Linked DNA regions of Mytilus edulis. The protein of the gene in region 2 interacts with the protein of the main gene of each other region in a biochemical or structural test. Links are inferred from orthologs where the notes say so. Each region holds a gene or a part of one and is shown on either strand. Other genes may lie near its edges.

The links.
Region 1: of the proteins of serine-protein kinase ATM-like (region 2) and serine/threonine-protein kinase Chk2-like, one has a biochemical effect on the other in vitro, tested with the Homo sapiens proteins (6 studies listed by BioGRID, with this or other methods). The link is inferred for Mytilus edulis from reciprocal best matches to the Homo sapiens genes ATM and CHEK2.

Annotation. Positions count from the first base shown.
Region 1 is NC_092349.1:15,393,475-15,401,366, forward strand, and holds the start of serine/threonine-protein kinase Chk2-like, read right to left. Parts: upstream 3,018-7,892; 5' UTR 2,946-3,017; coding exon 2,816-2,945; intron 1-2,815. UniProt on the Homo sapiens protein: Serine/threonine-protein kinase which is required for checkpoint-mediated cell cycle arrest, activation of DNA repair and apoptosis in response to the presence of DNA double-strand breaks.
Region 2 is NC_092353.1:10,605,744-10,613,418, reverse strand, and holds the start of serine-protein kinase ATM-like, read left to right. Parts: upstream 1-4,671; 5' UTR 4,672-4,765; intron 4,766-6,720; 5' UTR 6,721-6,745; coding exon 6,746-6,814; intron 6,815-7,357; coding exon 7,358-7,483; intron 7,484-7,675. Other genes in the region: c-Myc-binding protein-like, read right to left, coding at 381-429, 1,416-1,488, 4,343-4,357.

The DNA of each region.
Region 1 (7,892 bases), on a different chromosome or scaffold from region 2:
TGTTTAGGGGCCAGCTGAAGGACGCCTCCGGGTGCGGGAATTTCTCGCTACATTGAAGACCTGTTGGTGACCCTCTGCTGTTGTTTTTTATTTGGTCGGGTTGTTGTCTCTTTGACACATTCCCCATTTCCATTCTCAATTTTATGTATATGTTCCTGTGATAATCTAAGGATTAGTTTTTAAAATCAACCATTACAAAATTATGCATAAGCCTAATGTTGGCAGTTATTATTTGTAAAACAACCAACCATTTCAGATAAATTGGAATCATTTTGAGAGATGAAAATAAAATCATTGTTACTCATTTGGTATGATGAACAGGGTTGGCAAAAACCCGGGTTTTATGAGTATTGCCCAGCCCAGTGGGAAATACTGGGAAAACCCGGGTTTTATTGGGTTTTAGTGGGTAATACTGGGTAATATAAAATATTTGTCTGAATTTTAAAGAGGATTCAGAGATAAACACAAATGCAATACATTTAATAAGATATTTATACCCCATTTTGTTTGTTTAGCATTTGTCTAGATTGGCAAACTGTAAATAGAAAGCAAGTAAACCATTTTTTTTCAAATGAATATAGCTCCTATTAAGAATTGCATGTATTAAAGAAACATCACATTTAAATAATGTATATGTACTGTCACTAATTTAATAAGTAATTATTCAGATTAGAACACAGATTTGTTTATGTAACAATAATTAGTCCTTTCAATTTTATAAGTGTTAATGGCATGACCCTGTAGGGTGTTTATTTAGCAATATGAATGTATAACAATTAAAATTAACAATTCACTTAACCCTTTCGCCGATGAGTCCCGGTTTACCGGGATTCACGCTTCAGACAGCTGACGATGAGTCCCGTTTTACCGGGATCGGAATACCTCTTTTATATTTCCCGCTCAAAACAGTGCAAACATGAGTTATCTTTCTTTGATGAATACCCGGATGAAAGTGTAAACATGGCGCTTCCGTTTGTTGAAAACCGTGTCAAAATCAGACGAAATTTACGGAATTTACAAGAATTTGAAATGAGGGAACATTTTTTTTGAAAGAATATGGAAGAATTGAAGCCAAACTAGTATACTTTTTTGACATAAAATGTCGTTTTATGTACAAAACATTTGGAATGGACATCGTTCAGTGCGAGGAATTTGTACAGCCTCATAAAATTTTTCAATTTATGCCGTTTTGGGTTAAAAAATTACGATTTGGGGTCTTAGAGCAGAATTTTGAGAATTTCACCTAGATAATGCCGAAAATTTGAAAATTTGAATATTTTATGAAGAATAAATTATCAAAACATGAACAAAACTGTGAACATGATGTTAGTGAATGAAATAAATACATACCTGCCAACTTTTGAAAATGGCCATGGGGGTTTTTGTGCGCGGCACCATTTTTGAGGGTAGAATTTTTCGCGCCATTTTTTCGTGTGATGATTTGGCTCCTAAAAGTGGCTGACATACTTCTTTTTTGGGGGGTGATAGTTGAAGATGCTGTTATATTAACCCATCTTTTTTAAATTGTTTGATTGTTGTATTCTTTTTGTTGAGATAAACACCAGTAAGATGACTTTATGTTTGTCTGATACATTGTCAAGAAATTAAAAAAGTAATAATTTTAATAATTTGATAACAAAAAAACAACAATATATTATATAGATCAATATCACAAGTTGTAATGTCAAACAGTCTTGGTGATGTGTTGTGCGTTGAATGACTTCTGGTGAAGAGCAGTACTAGAATGTTTGGAGACATCATTAAGGCCACCGTGGTCAACTGTAAAGTCTCTGTTGCAAACTTTACAAAAGGCATGTAGCAATCCTAACGTTGATTTAGACAACCAGCCCCTGTACTTGACATTATTCTCCCAAATCAAGTATTTGCACGAAGCAACACGATTTTTCTTCTTAGGCGGTGACAGAACCATTTTGCAAGTGATAACTTTTGATAAACAACTAAAAATACCTAACAATCTTTGATTCTTTGATTGTTTACTATGCCGACATTAATCAACTGGTGAATGCGTGATCACTAAATTTTGATTGGATGAAATTTGCCAGACACGATTTGTCTCCCTTGGGAAAACTTTTCAAAAGTTCAAAATCGGGAACAAAAATATTTTTCGTGTAAATATTACTAAAATCGTGTTTTTTGGCTATTTTCACGATCACGATCGTGTAATCGGGACAGAGGGTCAAAATCGTGTAGTACACGCCTAAATCGTGAAAGTTGGCAGGTATGTAAATACACAAATAACTACAAACAAGTTTTTATTGACATTTATTATGAAGATCTCCCACTTGAGTAATAGTAGCCAGGGAAGCCATCGTCTCAGAGTAGCTTCTGTCTGGGCAGCAATCGGTGAAAGGGTTAAACACTGCAATAAGATGCATTTTTCAAAGTTTGGATTATTGAAACAATACTTGGTAATCATGGTAATTAAAAGGTATCTTTTAATGTGCACTATTCTGCCTACATATAACATTTCTAGAGAAGAGAATGAAATTGAATTTTCTAGAAATGACTGTCAATGGTTATCTGTATAAAAAGGATATATTTAGCTGTTATACTATGAAACTATAACAAGTCTTTACTATTTTGTGTATAAATAAGCTTAAAAAATCATATTGCCCAGTAATGCCCACTATCACCATGATCACCCATTTCTGGGAGTATTGCCCAGCCCGGGAAAACGGGGGTGTTTTCCCGGTGGGTAATACTTTGCCAACCTTGATGATGAACCTTATATACCAGAGGCAGAGTAAATAAAAACACACAAAAACATGTACGATTTTCTATGCATGTTTTTTACCGACTGCAATAAAACTTGATCCAAGTGGAAACATTCTCCCCCACACTTCTGCATTGTCTTCATTTTCTTCGCTGTCAACTCCATCAATGAAATCCGAAGGGACTGTTTGCATATTATCATGAATATCCATGTCTTAATTTTTTCTGTTTACAGTTGCACAAGCGGACCGGCAACACACATGCGCATCATCTAAATCGTTAGAGTGATTTAAATTAAAATATATAATATAAGAGTCGTATATCGAGTCAATTGAATTTCCGGATTGTGTTATTTTTTAAAAGAAATTTAGAATTAGGTAATTTAAAAAAAAAAGAGTCTAAGAACATGCCCCCACCTAAGGCCGTGTTCACATTGACCTAAACTCGGTGTTGTGTAAGTGTAACTCACACGTAAACTAAACAAAATTACGTTCCCATTGATAAAATTCAATGTTTACATGTAGTGTAAAACATGTTTTGTCTACATGCAGTCGATACTCGATGTAGGCCTTGTGTATATTAAGTGTACACAAAACTAGGCATTTAAAACATTAGTTTCACCGTGTATATTTAAGGAAGAAACAATTTTTGAATAAAATTGATATTTATAACAGTTATTAATAAAGTTCTTTACAGAAATATTTGTCTAAACTTGATATATTTATTTGGGTATTTTTAAACTTAACGTAGCTTTATTGAAGCCCTTATCAAGACTCAAAGCAGCATCATTGCCGAACACAAAATTCATTTGAAAATTAAGGTCTTTCCGAATCGACTTGACTTGTACAGAAATGTTTGCCACTGGTCTTTACTGAAACAACGATTCACTCATAAATGCATTACTTAAAAAGTGTGAGGTAAATGTATTGTTTGTCTAGTACATGTATCTCGGATCCGTTAAATTACTCTTAAAACTAAAAAAAAACATTACCCCCTCCCTTTGTCAAATACTCCTTGGAGAAGAAATACCATTTGAAACAAACAGAAAAGATAGGAATAATATGGTGATCCCTAATATATCATTTCCTCTTCTCCTTCAATCTCTGTACCGATGTAATGCATTGGCTTTATGAGATAAAATATATATATTTTTCGCCTGTAAGCACGCTGCTGCAGCCTACGTTTTCTAATGCTAAATCGAGACATCTTTATTATTTTTAAACTACTGCAAATCATCAAAATGGCTTTCATAAAGAAGCAGCCACTTGACTTAAAAAAAAAAGGGAGGGGTATTTTGTTAATTAATCTGAGCCAGAAATTTTTCCGCGCAAACGTTTTATTCCGGGGTTTTTTCGATGCTGGTAATCAATTTTTTTTTCAACATTTAACGCTATAATGTATGGGGAAACTCTTGATTTAGAATATTTTTGTATCATCGGTAGGACCTTTTTTTTTTTATCCAATTGGGGTTCGAAATATTTCCATCGAGACCCCCGTCCCCGATTTGAAGTCAAATGGTCGTTCCCTTACTGCTAGAAAAGTTTCCGAAAACTTTGCATTCGGTTCAACGTAATGAACATTTAAATAACATAGAGTTTACAAGTGTGATCAAATCTTATGTACAGGTAATTAAACAAGGTGTATAGATGTGAACAAATTTAATGTGAAACCAATGTCCAGTACATTAAACTAATTGTAAACAAGTTTATTATACATGGCGTTTGGTGTGAACACGGCCTAAGATGAGTCGCTGATTCATAAAAAAATGTTTTAAAAAGAAGGTTTAGAAGGAGACATTCAAGCACCAGCTATAGTTTATTTTTACACACATTTATCATTTGAACTCAGTTGGAAAACAGATATATAATATCATTACACATATATGTTACATATGAATTTTGTGGATATTCGAAAATCAAATTTCGAAAATAATACTTAAAATGAATAAACAAATTAAAACACAAATTTTTGCGATTTTATTCAAACTTCAAGTCCTTGCAAAGCATTTTTTTTCGTTCAGAAAAAAAATTCCTAGATTCAAGATTCAAGATTGAAAGTTTTATTTAGAGTCGATATTCAATAAACTACATAACACAAGCTCTAGTGAGCTTTTCAAATCGACTTAACAAGTAACTATATACAGTGCTTAGTGGAAATACGATCTACTGGGCATTTTAATTTGCAAAATAACTGGATATATTACACGATGGATGAATTTTCTAATTATTGTTTGTGTACAAATGGCGCCGGTCAGTATGTCAACAACTTGATGACGAGTAATGGACATGTGCCTGTAAGTACTTTTAATTATAACATTGCTTCACCAAGCGAAAGAAAACACCAATCAGATCAAATGGCTGAACACTTCATCGAATCTGATAATATAAACAAGAAAAGTAGATGTGATTTGAGCTACTCGAGTGCACCCTCGGCGATTGATAGCGAAAATTCCCAAAATAGACTTGAATATTTAATTCTTCAATTGTCGGCAAATTTTACATCTATGAGTATAAGCTTAGAAAAAAGAATTGATGACCTCAAAACTAACATGGAGGAAAAAATATCAGTAAAAGTGTCCGAAAGAATTATGGTTCATCATAACCTTTTGGCTAAAATGGCCGTATTTACACCCCAAATTTTACTCTGAGTACAGACTAACCTATACACCTGCAACAGTTTTAAGGGATGGCAGGAACTAGATATATAAATTTTAAATGCATTTTGTGTTTCAGAAAATTATAAACTTTTCTAGATTTTGCTATCCATTTTTTTTTTCGTTCCTGCAGAAGGTGCAAAAATTAACTAAGTAGTGAAAACGATTGAGAAGCTCCCCTCATATAATCAATGTTGTGAGTAGTATTGATTTAAATGGACAATAGATGGACAATAGACACCTGTAAACAATAGGTGATTTAACAGGTTTAAACTGTGTAAGTGAGTGGACCGTATCAAATGAAACTCTGGTGTTTATTTATTTGCTCTCTTCTGCAGACTGGAAAAAAAAATGAACATCAAAATCCAGGTAAGTGTTTAATTTTCTGAAACGTAGACTTTATATAACTTTTATATATCTAGTTCCTGCCATGCCTTAAAACTTTCCTGGATGTACCAGTTTGTCTGTACTCATAGTAATTTTGGAGGTGTAAACACGGCCATATTTTTCAATTCCTTATGATGAACCTTAAGCCGTTGGAAACGAGGAACTTCCAAAATGCGATGAGGACCGTTTTGAAAGAAATGAGAAAAGACAAAGACTATAAATTTGCAGGAAGTCGACTCTTAGCTAAGCGCACATAGGATGCAGTGCGGCTTGCGGTATGGAACTGCAGGGGATGGTCTACAAAATCGAACGAAAATTCAATTTTCCGGGAAAAAGTTTTAAACTACATTAACTGTGATATAATTGGAATTTGTGAAACATTTTTACGTGGAAATGAACGCCTGCACGTTCATGGTTTTAGATTTTATGGAAATAATAGGAAAGCATTGCATAAACTTGCCACTCGCAGCTCAGCAGTAGTAGGGGCATTTGTGAAAAACAATATAGCGGATATGTTTGATATACATGTTTTAGATGAGGAGGAAGAGGGAGTATTATGGTTGCAAGACTATGCTTTTGTGTTGCAATATGTTATTTGCAGATTCATGTCAACCTGTGGATTCGGACGTATTTTTATGTCCCACCTACGATAGTAGAGGGGCATTATGTTTTCTGGTCTGTGCGTCCGTCCGTCCGTCCTTCCGTCCATTCGTTCAAGTTAAAGTTTTTGGTCAAGGTAGTTTTTGATGAAGTTGAAGTCCAATCAACTTCAAACTTAGTACACATGTTCCCTATGATATGATCTTTCTAATTTAATTGATTTAGTTTTGACCCCAATTTCACGGTCTACTGAACATAGAAAATGATAATGCGAGTGGGGCATCCGTGTACTATGGACACATTCTTGTTTCGAAATCTATTACATCAGGTTTATTCTTATCAACACAAAGGGAAAATATTTATTTGTGGCGATTTTAACTCTCGTGTAGGATCACACTCCGATTATATTGAAGGTGTTGATCTAGTTAAACCAAGGAATTATATTTGATCATACAGAAAATCATCATGGAGATGTGTTTATTAATTTTTTAAGTGACGTTAATTTCGGCATGCTAAATGGGCGATTTAATGATAACCAATTTACCTGTGTTTCTACAACTGGAAAATCTGTAGTAGATTATATATGTGTTCCTTACGAAGATATGGAAAATATTGAAGACTTCAAAATAGTTCAAATGTCAGATATAATCAATAATATTTCATACATTCCTGATAGTATTCCGGATCACTCAGTATTATATTGTGATGTGAATTTATCTATTAATTTAAAAAGGAATATGGATATGAATAAAAGTGAGAATAATGCTAGATATAAGCATAATGTTTCATCTGTGCCAAATGATTTCTTGCTAAATGAGAATATATTTCATAAAGTACTGGAAGCTATTCAGAAAATAGAAAATTATATTGAAGTATATCAAGTGATGTTCAAAATGCCTACGACGAATTCCAATCTTTAATTAAATGTGAAATGGACACAACAAGTTACCTGTTTATAATAGTTCAAGTGGGGATAAACGAAAGAAGTCACGTTTTATACCTTATTGGAATGATAGTCTAGCTCGTCAATGGAGTAAAGCAGCTGAAAAGAAGTGGTTACGTTACACTGGACCAACATCTTTAAAGCAAAAATATAAAAAAAGAATACTGTTCCGAAAGAAAAACTTTTGACTGTCTTAACCGAAAATTTAAAAGGAAATATCAAGCCAATGAACGACATATTACTGAAAATAAATTGTGTGAAACCAATCAGCGTGATTTCTGGAAATCTATTGGTAAATTGGGTATTGCCAACGAGCGTAAACCGTGTATTCCAATGGCAATTGTTGATGAGAACGGTTCAGTTAACAAACAGAAGCGATGTTATGAATGTTATGAAGTGGAAGACCGATTTTCATTCATTATTTAAGCGAAAAACCGGTGTCGAAACGGAACTTGATTCTGCGAACTTTAATATTGAAATTGATGTATCTACGCTTAATGCATCTATTTCCAGAGCTGAGGTTCTCGATGTAGTCATACGTGCCATATCACGGAAAGCTACAGGAATTGACGACAT
Region 2 (7,675 bases):
GCTATCTCCTGTAAATTGTGACAAATTTAAGGTCATGCCAGGTTTTTTTGGTAGCTATACAGGTATGGTTTGGCATTTACTCATTGTTGAAGAACATACCTTGATAAATAGCTAACTAAATCCACTTCACTTAACACTTGGACCTTTAACATAAACTTTAACCTGATAAAAGACATGCTAATTTATTAACTCAGACATCACTAAGCAATATCAAATGCCCTTACTATCATAGAATGTTACGAAGATGAATTTAAATAACGTACAGAGAACAAAATCAGTGTTTTAATTTGATTGTAGATGTTTTTGTTTTAATGTTTTCAATTAACCATAAGTATAATTTATTAATTTCAAATTTGCCCATTGAATTATTTTAAGGATACTCCAATGCATTATTTGGCTTTTCTGGTTCTTCATACAACCCAACCAAAACTGAAAAAGAAAATGATAATTCATAAATTACATAATACTGATACTACATAAATTTATCAAACAGAAATACTTAAAATATGTGTGAAGTATGGAAATAATAGAAAGACCATAAAAAGACATTACAACTGTCAAACATAATAGCGTCTTTGTGTTTGCTGCCTTCTATAACATGCAGTATAAACATGAAAAAAGATTTCAACCATTTTTTTCTGAATGTGTAATTCAGAATTCTTTTACTACTGAAAATTATGACATCTCTGCTTCATAATGGACCTTGAGAAAAAATTATTAAAAACTCTGAGATATTTCTTGTCATATGATACATGTACATTTGTACCTAATAGTGTACTTGCAGTTCCTTCACACCATGCATCATCATTACCAATTTTCCACTTATTACTTTTGCCATTTTTTTCAACAGCTTGACTCTTAATTATTGATTGATATTATGAGTCCAATCCATTTTACTTTTACTAAATAACATATGTAAACTTAACAGATTTTAAATTGGTTTTTATAATGACTAGTCTTAAGCATACACATGCATATTGAAATAACAAAAAAAATAAGTATGTATTAATCTAAAAGACCACTTTTAAGTTCATCCTTCGCCGGAAAAAACTTGTCAATTATACGCGCCTTTATGACGTCATTTAACAGATAGAGGGGTCGCCTGTATCCCTGCACCATTTACGTTCATCAAGCGTCTTAGTGATCGTCATAGTGCATGATAAACTACAAATAATGGTTGGTCTGTAGGTACTTAATGACAATTCCCTAATGACAGCAATGCTGATTGTCAATTTTGAGAATTCAATTTGCCGAATAATTCGTACAATATAGAATTATAGTTTTCCAACTACTCGCTCAACATTGGAATGGAAGTGACGACGCCCCTAAACGCACAAATGACGTTCACTAAAACCAGAGTTTTTGACGGAAATGCATCCAAATCGAAAGTTGTCTATTTATTTTATGCATCATACCTTTTGTTAAGGCATCTAATACACCTGCTTTCTCTAAATATTTTCTGAACTCCTCTCTCTTGCTGTCAGCTCCCTACAGTGTAAATTTTATTTCATAAGTGATCATTGCAAGAAATTTGTAGAAACAAGTCGTCTAGTCTCAAAGGAAACTGTATCATTATTCATGAACTTTTGAATCTTCACCTAAAAACCACCTTCAACATCAGCATGACCATGGTGGCAGTAAAACTATTTTTCTGCATTTATGGTGAAATATAATTTAGAAGAATACATTTTTTAGAAAGGAGAATGTTCACAATAGACTACAAATTTTCATATTAAATAAGTTTTGATATAAATACAAAATAAACTGTACATGTTGACCCAGAGCTATTATCCAGAATTTAAATTAATTCTGATTCATATAATTCCTTGTTTTAGTTTATATATCATTGATCATGTTGATATGCTTTATATATACACAAACTACATGTAGATGTGTCAAAGCGACACGAATGGCCCCATCTCCAAAAATTGAAAAATCTGCAATTTCAATTACACATGTGGACACAAACATGATGGTAGTCTCACATATAAAAGAATCAGCTAAAAATCTGGAGGCGTATAGAAAAAAGTTGTAAACCCTTAATTTTAGAAAAAATTAGCGGAGTGGAACAAAACTTAAACTTGATCTGTAACTCATCATTGTTAGCCACATACCAAAAATCAGCCCAATATCTGAAAGCGTTTAGAAAAAAAGTCTGTATAACAGCGATTTTCAAAATTTTATTAAAGTCCAAAGCCAAAAATTACAGCAAAAATTAGCAGAGCAGCGAAACTTAAACTTGATCTGTAACTTATGAATAACTCACAAACCAAAAAATCATCCCAATATCTGAAAGTGTTTAGAAAAAAAGTCTGTATAACTGTGATTTTCAACAATTTATCAAAGTCCAAAGCCCATAATTTTGTCAAAAATTAGCGAAGCAGAACAAAACTTAAACTTGATCTGTAACTCATCATGGAGAACTTATATTCCAAAGATCAGCCCAATATCTGAAGCGGTTTTCAAAAAAAACTCTGTATAATGGTTTGTTGTGGAATGACGGAATTTTGGAATTTCAGACAGGGGTAAAACTATATGTCCCGACCACTTAGTGGCGGGGCCATAAAAACTAAACTTAAATTCATTAAGTTTGTATTTTTTTTTTAACATTATTTGTTTGAATAAGACTATAAAATTGTGTGATGCTAGATTTGACTTCTAGTTGCTAAACTTGTCTTCTTGTCGCTGCTGTGTCAGAATCTAATGGAGTAATTCTTTCTGTCGAATTATACTTTCAAAATCTAACAGTACACTCAATTGCTATAATTTGTTCAAAACATCCTAAACAATGACTGTCTATACCGTTCGCCACTGATCCAATGTCCCAGACTAGAACAATTCTATTTGGACTAGCAAGTATTTGCAAAACATTGTTCAGACACATAATGAAAAATGGCAAAATATTGGTCTTTTCCGTTAAGTCTTTGGATTAGAAGAAGTAAATGTAGTAGAAGTTGGTAAAGTTTTGGTGCAGACTGATTGACTTGAACATCTTTTCAATTTTGTTGTACTCACAATAAAATTACACATAAAATTGAGAAAGGAAATGGGGAATGATTTAAAAGACAACAACCCAACCATAGAGCAGATAACAGCCAAAGGCCACCAATGAATCTTCAATGTAGCGAGAAACTCCCGCACACGGAGGCGTCCTTCAGCTGGCCCCTTAAAAAATATGTATACTAGTACAGTGAGAATGGACCTCATACTAAACTCTGAATAATACGTAAGAAACTAAAATTAAAAATCATACAGGACTAACAAAGGCCAGAGGCTCCTGACTTGGGACAGGCCCAAAATAGCGGCAGGGTTAAACAGGTCTATGAGATCGTAACCCTTCCCCTATACCTCTATAGTCTTTTACTTTGATTCTGAAAAATTGGAGACCACAACTGACTTTACACTAACAGTGGAGTCCCCACAGCCTGTGATATCGCACATTAGCTGATTTCATCATATCAACACATTAATATAAATAAAATCATTCTTGTTATTGTTTAAGCCTTCTGAAGGGAAAAAAAAAGAATAAAATTGATAAGTTCAAGAGTTCATTAATAACTGCAATTCCTTGATTTACCATATTTGGTCAATTTCCATTAAAAAAATACATCATCAGATAAAATTTGTTTTACCTAAGTCAAATTTAATTATGATATGAAATAATTTTTTGCTCTGCATCCATTGGCATCTTTGGCAGTGTGTTTCACTGTTTGGTTCAAATTCAGCTACATTTAGTAGTATAAAATCTTTCTTTTATTCAAAATAACCTATTTTTGTAAGGCATGCGAGAAATCACCAGACATTGGAGGAACTCTCAGAAAAGGGGATTCCCTAATTTTGGACACACATTACTAAAAATTCTGAGGATGAAACCATACAAACAGAAGATTTTATAAAATAAAAGTATGTTATGAAGTGTTCACACAATTTTATCCAATTTTTGGTTTTATTTGTTGAATGAAGTGAAGTCAAAAGTCTTAGGTGTGCAGATACACCGGACTGCACCGCAACATTAATTTAAGCTGGGATATAACTTCCTTGAATTTGTAAGACATTCCTTTTTTCATAACAAACTTATCCCATTATCTTTTTCTTCTAATTACCAAAACACATCTTTTATACTTTATTCCAATATTTTAACAAGAATAGAATAACAGTCAAACTAATTTGCAATATATGACTTTAAACAGAATTATTCAGAAAAGATTGAAAAATCTGTCCTGGGTCACCTTTAGTTTTTAATTAGTTTTACTGTATTTGATTCAAGTTCGTCCATTGAAACTATACGGTTATTTAAACAGAGAAGAAGACTATTTTACGCCAATTTTGAAATAAAGTATACCCTGTAAGTTGTCATGATGTCTGATGTTGTTCTTCAATCTCGTTTCAAACAGGTCCAGTTAGGAATGGTTGCTATCAAGGTTTCGGTAACATGCGCAGTGACCGGTGAAGAACCTAGATGATAACAGGTCTCAAATAAAACTTTACAATTGTGATAAACGATCAAGTCAAATTTAAAAGTTCAATGAAGATTGGTTTGATGTAAAACTGCGGAAGAAAATAATATGTTTTCTTGTTATAATGTAAAATGCCAAAGTAGTTATCATTTAGTTTGTACGGTCAAACTTAACTTCCGTTTTTCGGAATTTGTAGCTTTATCCATTTGTTTGATGAAAAGACCCGAAAAATGTAGGAAAAAAAATCGTCTGTTTTTGAGTTTTGGAGGCATTTTCAAAATGATTGGTGTTTCTCTAATTATTCAACGGTATTTTAAAAATGAATTACTAAATACTTTAGGTTGCTTTATGACACTGTTAAGATTATTTTCCCCTTTCCTGACATGTATGAAAAAGCAAGAAGAAGAAGGGTCTTTCGGTTTTAAGTCTTTTAAAGAGACAGGCCAGCACTGCCTCAGTCACTGAGTCAGTGCCCTCAATCATTCCTTGACTTATTTTCATTTTTTATTTTTTCTGTTGTCACAGAGTTACAGAGACAATCTCACCCTTCATAAATCAAGTGCAAACTGCTGAATAGATTACACAGGAACAAATTATACTATTACTATTTTGACGGGATACACCTTATCGTTATTTGTCCGCCATTACTGGATATCACACTGGTTCCCGTAAAATTTTGACGTCATAAAATAAAATATCTGAAGCCACAATGGAAAAGTGATTGTTGTATGCGTCAAAAGTTCAAGCGGCTGGTTCAGCCGGCCGATAAGGCTAATAGAGATAAGGTGTATTGCTTCCTTTAGAAAATGTGGTATAGATACTTAGTCAGCCATAAGTGGTTGAGCTAAGGAAGTACTTCTTTAGCCCAGTCGGTTAACACACTGCATTGTAACACAGAGGTCTCGGGGTTCGATTCCAGGTGGAGACAAGCAATTTTGTAATGAAATTCATGCACTCCGGACGCCACGATATAGCCTTTTTGTGCTAATGCGGCGTAAAGCAACCAACAATCAATCATGCTCTCCGGTTACATTGGCGCCCAGCTAAAAAACCCACATAAGTTAGAGAGGAATTCTAGCTAGGGTAATGTGTGTGAGAGTCATAATGGTATGATGACTCGTGAGGTTGGGGAAGTGTGACAGGATTGCTTCCCTTAGAAAATGCGGTAGATATTCTATAAGCGGTTGAGCTAAGGAAGTACTTCTTTAGCTCAATCGGTTAGCACATTGTCTTGTAAGGCAGAGGTCATCGGTTCGAGTCACGGTGGAGACAAGCAATTTTGTAATGAAACTTATGCTCTCCGGTTACAATGTCAATAGGGACAAAATTGGAGTGTTTAATTATGAAAAATGTATTACAAATGGTAAAATGTATCCTCATCTCATGGGTTTTCGTGGTATTAAAAATGCATTGTGACGTCACAATTTCTATTGAAAAAGCATTCATAGTACAAATTCATATTATGTATGAAAACAAATGATCAGACCATAGGCATAGAAGAAAGAGGTTAAAACTTGTAAAATATATGTACTTTAACATGCATGTTCAGCCATATGATCAGATGATATGGGAGGAATTTGCATTAAGAATAATTTTTTTGTCATCTGCTCGATCACTATTTTTTACATCAATGTGGAGATAGAAAAAAAACAATAACCATGATAACCCCCCTGGAAGTGAAATAGTCATTCCCTAACATGGACAAAACTATTTATTAAACTAGTTAAATCATAGAATTTGCACCTCTTTATTTTTGTATGCAGACTTTACATGCACTGAATTTTGCTGGTAAATTATATTCATTTAAAATTATGTGTGCCTTCTAGTTGTTGTGTGTAGCTTTAGTGATTGTGTTTTTTCTTCCCAGTTATAACAAATAGTTATGATACTATACAGTTACAGCTATTCAATTTTAAAGTACACTGTTTTCCATCTATTTTTCTAAGCCAAGGTATAAGAAAATTGTACATGTATGTAAACATATATAATTAACTAAGTTTTATCAACATATCATTTTCTGCTATTGATTATTTATTCCAAAACCAATGCTGAGAGAGAAAGCAGATATCACAATTGATGGATATATTTATTTGTCCCTCATAGTTATAAGTTTTACTTGTATTTCTTTGCTTTGTGGTTTAAGCTATAAGCTGTTACTCTTTATAAACAAATTTATAGAGCTTGCTCACTGAATGTTTTTCAATTATAAAAAAAAAATATTTTAATAACTTGGTAATAATCTTAACCATTTATTTCAATTTAGAATTGCATATCATTAACATGAAAAAATGGATAGCTTATCAGATGTGATTTCCTGCTGTCGTGGACTGTTGTTAGAAAAAATAACAGAAAGAAAGGTTTGTATCTTTTTATACAACAACTATATTATGTTTGTAAATCTTTTTTTTTGAATTAACTGAACCCTAAGTTATTTCAAAAAGTGTGATATCCCAACTCCCAGTGATAGGTAAATTGAGGGGCACCACACCTCTAAATTGAACGAAAGGTTCATAAACTAGGATTTTTTTAATGAAATAGACCAGAATACACAGCCATACTCAGTGCAAGTTACATTTGATTTCACACTCATCAATTGAAACAAAATGCTGGGGTAAAGCATTGTTTTCCACTGTAAGTCCACATAATATAATGAAGGATGAACACATGATGTCACCCCCAGTTAACTCCACCTTCTGTTTGTAAACTATATTATTCAGGGTGTTAGTACCTACAAGAAAGGTGTTTATGTTATAAATTAGGATTGTTATTTCTACAAGATAGGTGTTTATGTTATAAATTAGGATTGTTATTTCTACAAGAAAGGTGTTTATGTTATAAATTAGGATTGTTATTTCCTTTAACTTCTTTACAAATGACCTGGTTTGGTTTCATTATTTTAGAAAAGTGCAGAGAAATTTCGTCAGTTACTGTGTAAGAGTACTGTTATCAAAGCGTTGGATAGATATACAGACAGTAAGAATGCTGGAAGTTCTGATGAACAGTTAACTTGGGATTATGTCTTCAAAGTAAGTAAATCAATGAGACTTGAAGGAGGAGAAGTTATAAGACTCAACATAATAAAATTTAGTTATTATATTATATTGTTTTCCTAGCTTTTGGAAAATTAAAACTTTTATTTCTCATGTAAAGTGCATTTTGATTTTCAATACTTATCAAAACCTATGGATTGAAAGTGTATTCTTTAGAACCATATATGA